Drosophila melanogaster: one gene and its partners. The protein of the gene in region 3 interacts with the protein of the main gene of each other region in a pairwise test. Each region holds a gene or a part of one and is shown on either strand. Other genes may lie near its edges.

What was found.
Region 1: the proteins of CG14969 (region 3) and CG17580 interact in a two-hybrid assay, tested with the Drosophila melanogaster proteins (one large-scale study listed by BioGRID).
Region 2: the proteins of CG14969 (region 3) and hbt interact in a two-hybrid assay, tested with the Drosophila melanogaster proteins (one large-scale study listed by BioGRID).

What each region holds. Positions count from the first base shown.
Region 1 is NT_033778.4:12,804,493-12,808,248, forward strand, and holds CG17580 (uncharacterized protein), read left to right. Parts: upstream 1-2,121; 5' UTR 2,122-2,205; coding exon 2,206-2,427; 3' UTR 2,428-2,542; intron 2,543-2,597; 3' UTR 2,598-2,737; intron 2,738-2,794; 3' UTR 2,795-3,319; downstream 3,320-3,756.
Region 2 is NT_033779.5:13,329,257-13,333,012, reverse strand, and holds the start of hbt (headbutt), read left to right. Parts: upstream 1-1,891; 5' UTR 1,892-2,214; intron 2,215-3,756.
Region 3 is NT_037436.4:3,333,333-3,337,088, reverse strand, and holds the start of CG14969 (uncharacterized protein), read left to right. Parts: upstream 1-2,110; 5' UTR 2,111-2,322; intron 2,323-2,381; 5' UTR 2,382-2,531; coding exon 2,532-2,862; intron 2,863-2,917; coding exon 2,918-3,105; intron 3,106-3,163; coding exon 3,164-3,344; intron 3,345-3,396; coding exon 3,397-3,644; 3' UTR 3,645-3,756. Other genes in the region: Drsl6 (Drosomycin-like 6), read left to right, coding at 727-945; Drsl1 (Drosomycin-like 1), read left to right, coding at 1,301-1,510.

The DNA of each region.
Region 1 (3,756 bases), on a different chromosome or scaffold from region 3:
TATTTAGTGCCAATAATTGTCAATCGGATTTTGGCCCAAAGGTGAAAATTGCATAAAGTTGAAATTAAGTGTCACCACACAACTTATATTGAGCCGTTTACAGGATTTCTCAATTAAAAGCGACATTTAAATTAGATTAAAAATGGCAATGTATAATTTGTTTCAAAGAATAACTATGTATGCCACAGGCCACACACACTAACCTGCTCGCATTTTCTCACACCCTTTGAATCCTTCTTAATCTCCAGTCGGAGAGCAAACAAAAAGCAAAAGCAATCTTTCCTTTGTGCCACGTCTCGAAAGTCTGAAGAGATCCTTGCCAGCACAGCCTATTTGCTGCTGTTTGCTCCTTTTGAGGACCTTTGCTTTTTCGAGGGTAAACGCTGCAGTGCCAGAGGTGGAGAACTTTGCAAGACTGAATAAAAGTCGGCCTAAAGTCTTATTGTTTTCTGGTTTTTATCTGAAAGCTGCTGCTGCTGCTGCCTCAGCTCTGTCATTCGAGGTCCTGTGAAGTTGGCGATTATTGTTGCAAACTTAGTTGACAACTTGCCTGCTCGTCCTGCCATCTGCACCGCCCACTTATCGCCACCACCGCCCACCCCAAGGCCATGCAGATGATGGGCCGCCAAGCGTAATAAGGCCGAAGCCCAGGGAAAGAGGAAGTCTAGTGAAAATAAACAGTCGGACAGCCAAGTTGGGCATAGTTGAGCTTCTCGGCATCTCAGCTTCGCAGTCTTGCAGTTTCCCAGTTTCCCACTCTCACAGTTTTTCAGTTTCCCAGTTCATAGTTTGCCTGTTGTCTCCCCATTGTCCTGGCCATTCTTTATTTTTCAGTCCTTCCACTCCGGCTCTATATTATTATTATGTCTTGGCCCGGACTGCACAAAGTTTTGCCATTCTCTAACGACTTTGAATTTTTAATAATACCCCGCTGGAGCTTAACAATTTTGCCATCGTTCGGTTGTAGCGGCTAAGCTTTGTTACCAATTTAATGCATTTCTTGGTTGACGGAAATTGAATATCCGTTAAGATATATTAACAATTTATGCCGCCCTGATTGCCGACCCCCAATGCGGGTGCGGAATGAGGAGATCTATGCCTTTTTTGCAGTAAAATTGAAAACGAAACGAAACGGAACCAAAGCACACAGATACTATACACGAACGAACGGTAGCTGTGGCAAGAGAGCAGTCATCATCAGGGCCATAATGAGCAAGTCAATAGCCGGGCGGGCCAGCAGCAAAGGGAAAAGTCGAGGGGAAAGCCAGGCAATCGATGACGGAGCAAGGAAAATGCCGGCTGCCAGCAGTCATGCAGCGACGTGCGATAAAAAGCAGATTGCAATTTGTTTTACTGATTTCCATGCTTTTGGCTTTATTTGCACGACGGAAACTTTCATTAACATCAAACAGAAACTGAAATTGAAGCAGTAATGGCATCGCCAGCACTCCAAAGGATACAGCCACGGGGAAAAGCTGGAAAAGCCGATCGAAATGCACTTAAATCATGGCAAGAATGAGATCTACGGCATGCTTAAGTGGCATTATATGTACATACATATGCGCATATACGAGAATGCCATTATTAAGTTGCATCCTTCATTTGCTCAATTTGGCCAGTTGACCAGCTGGCCATTTAATTGATACGGCAAAAGGTCAGGGTGATGGTAGACCCACTTGACACCTCACCAAATTCCAGAATTCTTTGGGCAAACATTTGAGCAACATAAATGCACAAGTCCTACCAACCAATTAGTTGGCAAATAATGGAGAGAAATGACTTTTCATCTCTCGACCGCAAACAAAGTCCTTTTGTATTCCACCCAGGACCTCCTGTTCTGAAATTTATGCACGGACTTGGGCCTGCAAGGATCTCGAGGAGTGGCGGACGACTCTTGTTTTGTGTTCCAAGTAATTTGAACAAATTTGCGAGACATTTTGTGGCCTCCGAGCAAATATTTCAGGCCAATGCTAACCACCCCATCATCATCATCATGGCTTGGGCAGGCCTTTTGCGGACAAAGGCCAATTAACTTAAATAATTAGCCAGAAGTTTTCGCCATCGGAGATGAATCTCAGCCTACGAGATGCTCAAGTAATTTCAATAAAATGTTATCATTCGGTTGCTGTCGAGTTGCCAGGGAAAATCCAATCAATTATCGCCCAAGGGAAGCAAATTCGTACAGAAAGTTAAAGGCCCAGGGAAATGGGAAACAAGCTGCGCCGCCAACCACAAAGAGTTGAAGTTGACGAGGAGGAGGTGAGATCCGACCGACCCCAGAAGAAGCCACCATCGTCATGGCCCTTCTGGCGCCTGGTCTACTGGCTGGGAGTCCTCATCATGGTCATCGGCATCGGTGTGGGCATGTACTTCACCCTCAAGTCGGACTTCGGTGAGTGCTCCTCCTACGACGTCCGTTGCGATTGAGTGCTCCTGGCGATATAGAAACTTCCACGGAAATGGCGGAATTCATTACCCATTGAACTTCAACTAATTTGAAGCAGCTTGGCCTGCGAAAGCAATTGTTCTACATTTAGCGAGAGTAAGTATGCCAGCAGATATTAAAGAAAACTATTTAAAATTATTTCCCAAATTAGATTTAATTAAAACTTATACACCAGTTATGTTTTCTTGTCGAAACATCAGTTTGATCTTTTTACTTTTTATCATCGCAGTCTACATTTGCCTGTTTGTTTTATATATACTCCACAGAGTTGGTGAAGATAATTAATATTGGGTTTGTAATATTATTTTTCATTTGCCTTGCAGTATAAACCAGCTTATCTTTTCGCAGATTCATATGTAAAGTTATTCATTTGTCTGTTCTCCTGTTTGAATTGTGATATGCTAAGCTTGGTTATATCACTATCAACTTACGTGCAGTCCAATACTTGTCATACATGAATTCTAGCAGCTGGATCTTAATTAAAGCCGGATGAAACAACCCACCCCACACTAGACCGCCTCCTTTATTGTTAACAATTACAAAAGCAAGGCCGAAGCCGCGCAATCTCCAGCAACACATGCAGATACATTTGTGCATGTAGACGTGTGTATTTGTGATGCTATTCAAACTTATTGGAGCGCTTCCTTTTGATGGCGTTCTGGTTGACTCTTCAATGGCGAAACACTTTTTAGTTGAATGAAGCTAGTGAATGCACATATTTTGGGTTGCATATAAAAAATCCTACGATTATTCACTGGCCCTATTTATTTTGGTGTTAATTAACGAAGTGGAGAATGGCATTCATTGATAAAAGTGTACAACGATTTTTATTTCACATATTTATGCTATTGCTGTAATTAAAATAACAATTTGAATTAAAACTCTAATTTTAATAAATAAACTAAAATTGCACACTTATGACGACACATTTTATTTAAATTACCAGCTTAGGAAGTTGATTGCTTCTACTAAACGAGACAAAAGTTATTTATTTCGGTGCGTTGGGGGTTTATCTTAAAACGACTTCTTATGAGAGGGGCCATCAGTCAAGGTCAAGCTTAACAAAGATTTGTCGGCAATTCGAGCTTTTATTTCTTTGACACTTGCCAGACTTCTTTCGTTCGCACACAGCAGGTGAAATATAAATAAACTTTTTAATGAACTTTAAGATTTATTGCCAGCAGCAGCCGCAGCAAGTCAAGTCTGACACTTTGTGGCTTTAAATTTTCGGACGGGAATGTGCTGTTTAGATAAATTATACAGCACAATATATCCCGAAGGCACTGGCTGGCTGACTGAATATTTTGAAT
Region 2 (3,756 bases), on a different chromosome or scaffold from region 3:
TTCCTTTTTCCAAAAGCTGGCCAGTCTGAAGAATTTCAAAGCCATCGTTTGTGAGCTTTTTAAGACAAGCAAGCAGTGCGAAAAGCTTTAGTCATTCAAACATATCACGTATACGTAAGATGAAATGGTCGTTACGTTATTACAATTTTAAAATCGAACAAGCTTCTGTTTCAATTTGTATTTAAAATAAAATTAAAATGGTCTGAGGAAATTACTGGTACGATGGGAAAATATATATGTAATATAAAAATATTTAGGTACTTTCATTAATGGGCAACCTACAATGAATGTTGAAGGTTTTGTTTTAATTCCCATAAAATATGTTCCATTTTTTTATGTATATGTATGTTATGTATATTAAATGTATATAATGCATTTATTTAAATAATTATTGATTTCATCATTGTATGTGTAGCCTCAAATCTAAGGGAAAATATCAATGTCTGAAATCAGGAAATTTAGTATAAGTAAGAGCACCCATCAAAAAGTGTACACAACTTTCACTTCCATTTACAGACTCTGGCGGCGGGTAAACAATCCTTTTGTTGGCCAGCTTTATTTGACTATTGTGATTACATTTCCTTGGTTCCTCTTCGCAGTTGCAACTTTCGTTGTTGCAACTCCGCAAGAGTGCCACGCCCACGCCTTACGCAAAAAGCACAGCGCGCAGCTTTTGTCTGCTTAACAGACAACCGGGCCAACGACAACAGCAGCAACCACAACTAACCTTTCCTAATAAAAAGTGATTGCGACGGCCTTCAGCGGCCGCAAAAGCAAGGCGCCACCCCCCGTGAGCAAAAAAAAAAAAAAAATCGCAAAAAAAAAACACACACATACAGGAAGCGTCCTGCATGGTCCGAGCCAAAAAAAGCTCGGTTACATCAACTCTCTGAGCGGAGAGCTCGCTCTCTCGCTTGGCCAAGCTTTTCATTGAGCACGCACATTGAGGCAGGTGCACGGCATCCTTTGGCGCGAGAGAATGCGACATCCGGAGAGCCGGAGAGCACGACCATTGAGGGTCCTGTTCGGGAGAGCTGACGCCTCTGTGTCTAACTAAACGGAAGAGGCTCAAGGCGTCGCTTGATACTTCCACAGTCATCTCAATTTCAAGACTAGAAGGTTAAATAGATCTTTATTTATATTATGATTCAATTAAATTATTAATTTTATATTTCAAATATTTAAAAAAAAGCCTTATGGTTATGTCCTTAAAATATATTATTTTTAATTTAAGTTATAAGATAGAAAATCTTATATGGAGTTCTTAAATATTATTCATAAAACGTAAGTGGGAACATGTGAATTAGTTAAACAATAAGTCTCTCTGTTAAATAAATACATTTTGTCCTGAATTGGATTACAAAATCTCTTGTTCTTCAAAACACCTCAAAATCAATTGAGGTCTCCATCCTTTTCGGTATGCCGCCCTGAATCGATTTTCGGCAATTCGCGCAAAATACCCGCCACCGACAAATGATTCATCCATCATTTGTGAGCCCACCTGGCTGGAAGTGAAGTAGCGTTACGCGGACTTCTTACCCTGCGAATTGTTGTTGCAAAGCGAGTGGGTCCTAATGTGACTCCTTGCACCAGGACACCCGTTCAACGGGGAGGAAAAACCGGCTTTTTGCAACAAACAACAACACGAAAACAAATAGAATCAAGTGACGCCACATCAGGTGACGTGAAGCTCGGAGAGTCGAGCTTTGAGAGCGACTCAAAGAGGCAATTATGCTGGTTTTTTGGCCCAGCACAGCTGACGCACGTTCACGTGGCTCCTGGCACCAATACACACACGCAGGCGACTCTCACGCTCTCGCACACCAACACACATGCACGAAAGTGAGGCAGCTTTTCTGCTTTTCTACGTTGCCGACTCGCTCGACAATTTCAGTTGGGCGACAGACTCTGGACTCGACAGAAAAACGAGAGCTTGGAAATTTTGTGGTCCGTGATTATTACCTGGAGATCTTTGGTGAAAACTAATGCAAACACTCAGCATCTGCACCTGCACCAAAATCAAATAAAAAAAAAGGATGCTCCCAAATAGATACGTGTGTGTGTGACCCAAAACGGGCAAAGTTGTAACGCAGAAAGCGCAATTTACAAACAAAATGCCAAGTGATTCGATTGTGTGAGAAGTCAGTGGAAAATCCATTAAGCAGCGAAACGACAGACGTCAGTCTTCAATCAAATGTAGCGCCAAAAGTCCAGGTGAGAATGCGACAAGTCCTGGAGAAATCCTGCAGGACGTAACGAAAACACGGGCCAAGCCAGGCCAGGCGAAAAACAATTCCGATTGCAGCATGCAGCGGGCGCAGCCAATCAGCGAATGGCGTTCTCTGACATTGGCTGCCTCAAACGGTGGCACGTTGTTGTTCTTGCCCTGCTCCTCCAGCTCGTCCTGCTCGTCCTGTAGCCAGTGGCTCGTATCAAGCTTAAATGTCAGGGGCATGTGCACCCAGCACCCAGCTGCCGAGGGAATTAGGAGCACCCTTTCCCGATCCACTTTTTCTGCGCCTTTTCCTCGGCTGAATTTTAAAATTATCACTTTCGCCCATCGCACAGCGTCGACTTGCAGCCGCAAAAGTTTAAAAACAATTTGAATAGGTATTTATTTGGGTGTGTTTTTCTCGTTTTGTTTCATAGAAGTTCCATGAGAATGTATTTCGTTTCCTCTTTCCATTGTAATTTACTTTGCAAAACTTCCCCACACAGGATCAAAACAAAGAAATTAAACAATTTTTATTTCAGAACATTTTTAAAAGATACATTCATGAGAAAATATTAAAGAAAAACAAATTAGCATACATTTATTTTATATTTCCAATTAGGCTTTAAATATAACATAAAATATATAATTTTGCTTTTGTTAGTTTTCAACAAAAGTACAATAAATGCATATGGAATTCATAATGAATATATAAAAAATATATGTATATCATATATGTTTTTGAAGAACAGCATATAATTCCGTGATCACGTTTTTGTAATCATTAAATACAACCACAGACTAGTAACACACGTTTCTGTTTCATATTCTGAAACCGCAAAAAATAACCACAAAGGTTTCGAATTAGTTTAATAACCATGTTACTTTTTAGACTCAAACGTATTTGTAAATTGTTTGCTGCACGCGTTTCTCAGTCGCCGGCTGCCGACCAAAAACAAAACAAATTAAAGTACATAAAACGTGAAATTATAGGGAAGCCTGTGTCTGTCCCGCACTCACATCCCCTTCTCTGCACGCTTGAATGGCCACCGATAAACCCGCTCAAAAGTCCTGGACAGGTTAGCACGCGACTTCTGGCTGATTATGCCTAATAACTGTGAGCCAAATTCGAGACGCAACAAAGACGAACCAAGAATGCCGAAAACTTTTAATGAGATTTTTGCTCAAATTTTGGTTTGCCTTCCGCCTGATGGGGCATATTAGGCATTATGGGCAGTTTGCTATTTAAACTATTTAAATTGCTGAAACATATGAAAAGTTGGGCTTTAATCAATACATATTGTGGTATCAAGCGTTGAAAGAAAATTGATATAAAACATGTACACATTTTATAATGAATTTTTATATTTTTGTCATTCTATAAAATTAAATTTACATAACTTTACACATATTTTTTTAAGACAGACTTAACTTGACTGAAAATAGTTGTCTATTTCTTTATGGTTCAACAAATTGCAATATCATAATTTCTGCTAAAGAAAAGGTATTTAAAATTCCATATACTTTCAATTGAAAAACACCAC
Region 3 (3,756 bases):
CAACGAGCATAACAACAACAATGTGCAATGTGAGCGGCTTAAGAGAGCGAGAGCGCAAATAAAAGAGAGAATTGAAACGCTGATTACGTTTTACTTATTGGCCCGCTTGTTGTTTCTTTACTTTTTATTTCTTTTGCACGGCTTTATTTATTTTTCAGTTAGCGGTTTTGGGATCCAATTTTCAGTCCGCGCGCACGTCTTGTCAAATCGCCGATCAGAGAAAAACTGGCTATTCAAAATAGCCGATCCGGTTCTCAGTGGAATTTGAAAATTAAGTCATGGTATTTGAGGTTCGCGAAACATGGTCACACTTCTAGGTGCAGTTATCGATGCTTATATCGAATTTTGCGCTCTCCGTTGGAATTTAAACTTTATAGAATTGCATTCGAAAATATATGTGCTTTAGGCAATAAGCACAAAGTAGCAAATATCACTATCCTGTTGTTTTGGTTGTGATAATTAAGTGCATTACGCCATTTATTGTTTGCTTTTCCTTGAACCATTCATGGGACCTAGATTGAGAGACGTTCTTACAATTATATTGTGTGTATTGTATATTTATCCAGACAAAAGGTAGTATCAATAAATAAAATCGAACGACGCTGGCAGCGACATCGACTAGTCCAGCCCTATATAAGCTCGTCGAAAGCACTTGAAAACAAATTCGATCCGAATCTGAATTGATTAGTACATCAAAGAAAACAATCACCACGAAAACTACTGAAAATGATGCAAATCAAGTTCCTGTTCACCTTCCTCGCTCTGCTGATGATGGTCATCCTGGGCGCCAAGGAAGCCGATGCCGACTGCCTTTCCGGAAGGTACAGAGGTCCCTGTGCCGTCTGGGACAACGAGACATGCAGGCGGGTTTGCCGAGAGGAGGGACGAGGACGAGTGAGTGGTCACTGCAGTGCCAGGCTGCAATGCTGGTGCGAAGGATGCTGAATTTCTACCGAAATTGGACAACTTCTATAGACCCAGAATGATTATGTATCAATCATAAAATTCAATTCCCTAAACATTCACAATTATTTAAAATAAAATCAAGTCAAGAACCAATATTTATTGTTCAGATCAATGCATTGTTATATTCGGCACGTGGTGAAATTGTAAAGGCAGCCGAAAAGTCTGGGTAAATATTTTTATCTCCACGAGATAAATTTCACCACAGCGTCGTCGTACTGAGTGTAAAACTTACAGATCGGAACGTATTTAAGCGCTTATTCTGAGCTGAGAGCGATCAATTTCTTGAGGATTGCATTTCAACAATTACTAAGTTACCAGACCTCCTACCGAAACTATGGAAATCAAGTTCCTAATTGTCCTGTCCGCTGTCTTGATGATAATTTTCCTGGGAGCGGAAGAATCACATGCCGACTGCCTTTCCGGAAGATATAGGGGTTCCTGTGCTGTGTGGCACAGGAAGAAGTGCGTAGATATCTGCCAGAGGGAAGGGCGAACCAGTGGACACTGCAGCCCCAGTCTAAAATGCTGGTGCGAAGGATGCTAAAAAAAGATGTACATGTAAGAAGAGTCTATTCATGTGCATGGAGTAATAAATAGACAACCCTTTCTTATCTATGGATAAAAATTTTTATATATTTTACTGATCATACGGAACTCGATTGATAATGGAAAAACCCCAAGTTGGGGTTGTTTTGGGTCATTCATATCCAAAACGATGTATTTTAGCATTACTACTGCCCCGCTTTTTTTGCATCTATTTATGTAACACACTTAACTTCCTTTCATTGAAATATACTCATTGTGAAGGGTTGTTTACAGATTTTTCGCAAATAAATGATAAACAATGCTCAGAGTTTGATCAGCAGTTGCCTAAATGAAACGTGCAATTTTAAAGTAAACTTCGTGATCTATTTTTGATATGATACTTACAGCAGCTGATCTTCATAATGGGGAAAAGAGGAATTTGGTTAGGGAATTAAAATAAATCAATGACAATTGATTTTACAATTACAATTTCGGTGAGAAAACTGGCAATTACTGTAAAAGTTAATTTGAAAATTCGCGCCAACCTCTTAGCGTTGCCAGATGTTCCACGCTTTCATAGCGATTCCTCACTAAGAAAAGTCGAAGTGTCAAAGGCCCGATATTTTTGGACATCTAAATGATTGCTATTGTTTTGTTTATAAATTACACCAAATAATTGCTTCTATTGCAATTGGACAACAATTTGGTGTGCAGGTAACTGAATGCATGCAGAACTATTGATGGATGATGTCTCCAGCCGAAATACAATACAAAAATATATGATTTTATAAAAGTATTTGTTAAATTGTGATATTGTTTAGTGTGCAGAGGGTAAGAATGTGAGTTTCGTTAGTAATGCCAACAGCAACTCACCCGACACTCCTCTCCAGAAAGAATATATTTCATAGAAGAACTTGGGTGTGCGAAAAGGGAGCACCCGTATCAACAAACAGAAGCACCAGGGGATTCGCCGGCTTCTCGCCCTCCTGGTTTCCTCCTTCATCTCGTTCAAGTAGGCGAAGAGCAAAGCACACCAAAAGATGCGGAGTTACATTGCACTCTTGGGGCTTATCCTAACTCTAAGTGGACAGTTTAACATGCTGCTGGCCGGGAAGAAACATTCCTGCGAGAAATTGCTCGCCGATCTTGGCGATGCACAGAGCAAGTTCATCTACTGCGCCACCACAAAATCAGTGCCCGTGAATTTGTGTGAGGGCTGCGTCGATCTCTACCGCAATCTCACCAATGATTACGGAAACCTAATTGCGAACGCCAACTGTTCCAAGCGTTATCTGAACTCGGACAGGATCAATATAGTGGCTACCACCCAAGGAATCCTAACTAGCCTGTGGCAAAAGGCCAACTGCGAAAGTGTGCATCAGTACTTTGTTCATTTGGGAATCACTGATCTATTCCTACTTTCCAGATTGCTTCAGGGATAATTTTTGGATTGTATACAGCGATAACTCAACAAAGTTGCAAAATTGCTTAGAATCTGCTAGTTCGGATTTAGTTTGCTTCAAGTGCAAAAATGATTACGTGAGTCTAAATGATTTCTACCTTAGCATGGAAAAGAAAGTCGGTGGAAGTGTGTGCTTCGATCTGCAGGACAATGTAAGTTTAAAAATTTATATTTACATTTGCCTATTTTTACACCTTTACTTTTGCTTAGATGAACCGGACTCGTCTGAATTGGTCGAAAACGCTGAAATGCTGTCAACGCGAGGTGAAGCTGACCAATTTTCTCATCGCCGTTGGCGTAGTTGTCCTGCTGCCCATTTTCACCTTCTATATTACGGCAGTTGTAGTGACCAAGCGGCGGGAGGCCAATCATGGCTTGCTCAATGAGCAGGGTAGGAAAGATCGTCATTGGTTAAGCCCATATTCTGATTTTTGGCATTTTAGAACCTGAACTGGACGCGCCCTCCACGTCGACGCTTATCACGGCTGCCGTGCTGTCCACTTCAACAGAGGATCCTGTTGCAATCTCCGCCCGAACAGAAAAGATCGCCAATGTATTGATCGGTGCTGGAACACACCTGTTGGACGAGTCCAGTGATGAAGAACCTCCTAGGGGGAAAAAGGTTGCTCACAGTCCCGCATCCGACTACTCCAGTGACGATGAGCCTCTTGAAAAGCCCAAACGCGCGTAACAAAATCAAAAGCGTTCATTAGAGGAACCTTCGATATCAGCGTAAGAAGAATGTTTTTTAAATTTGAAGAAACTAGAGAAGCAAAGCTCAAAGCATTTCAAGGATTTTCGAA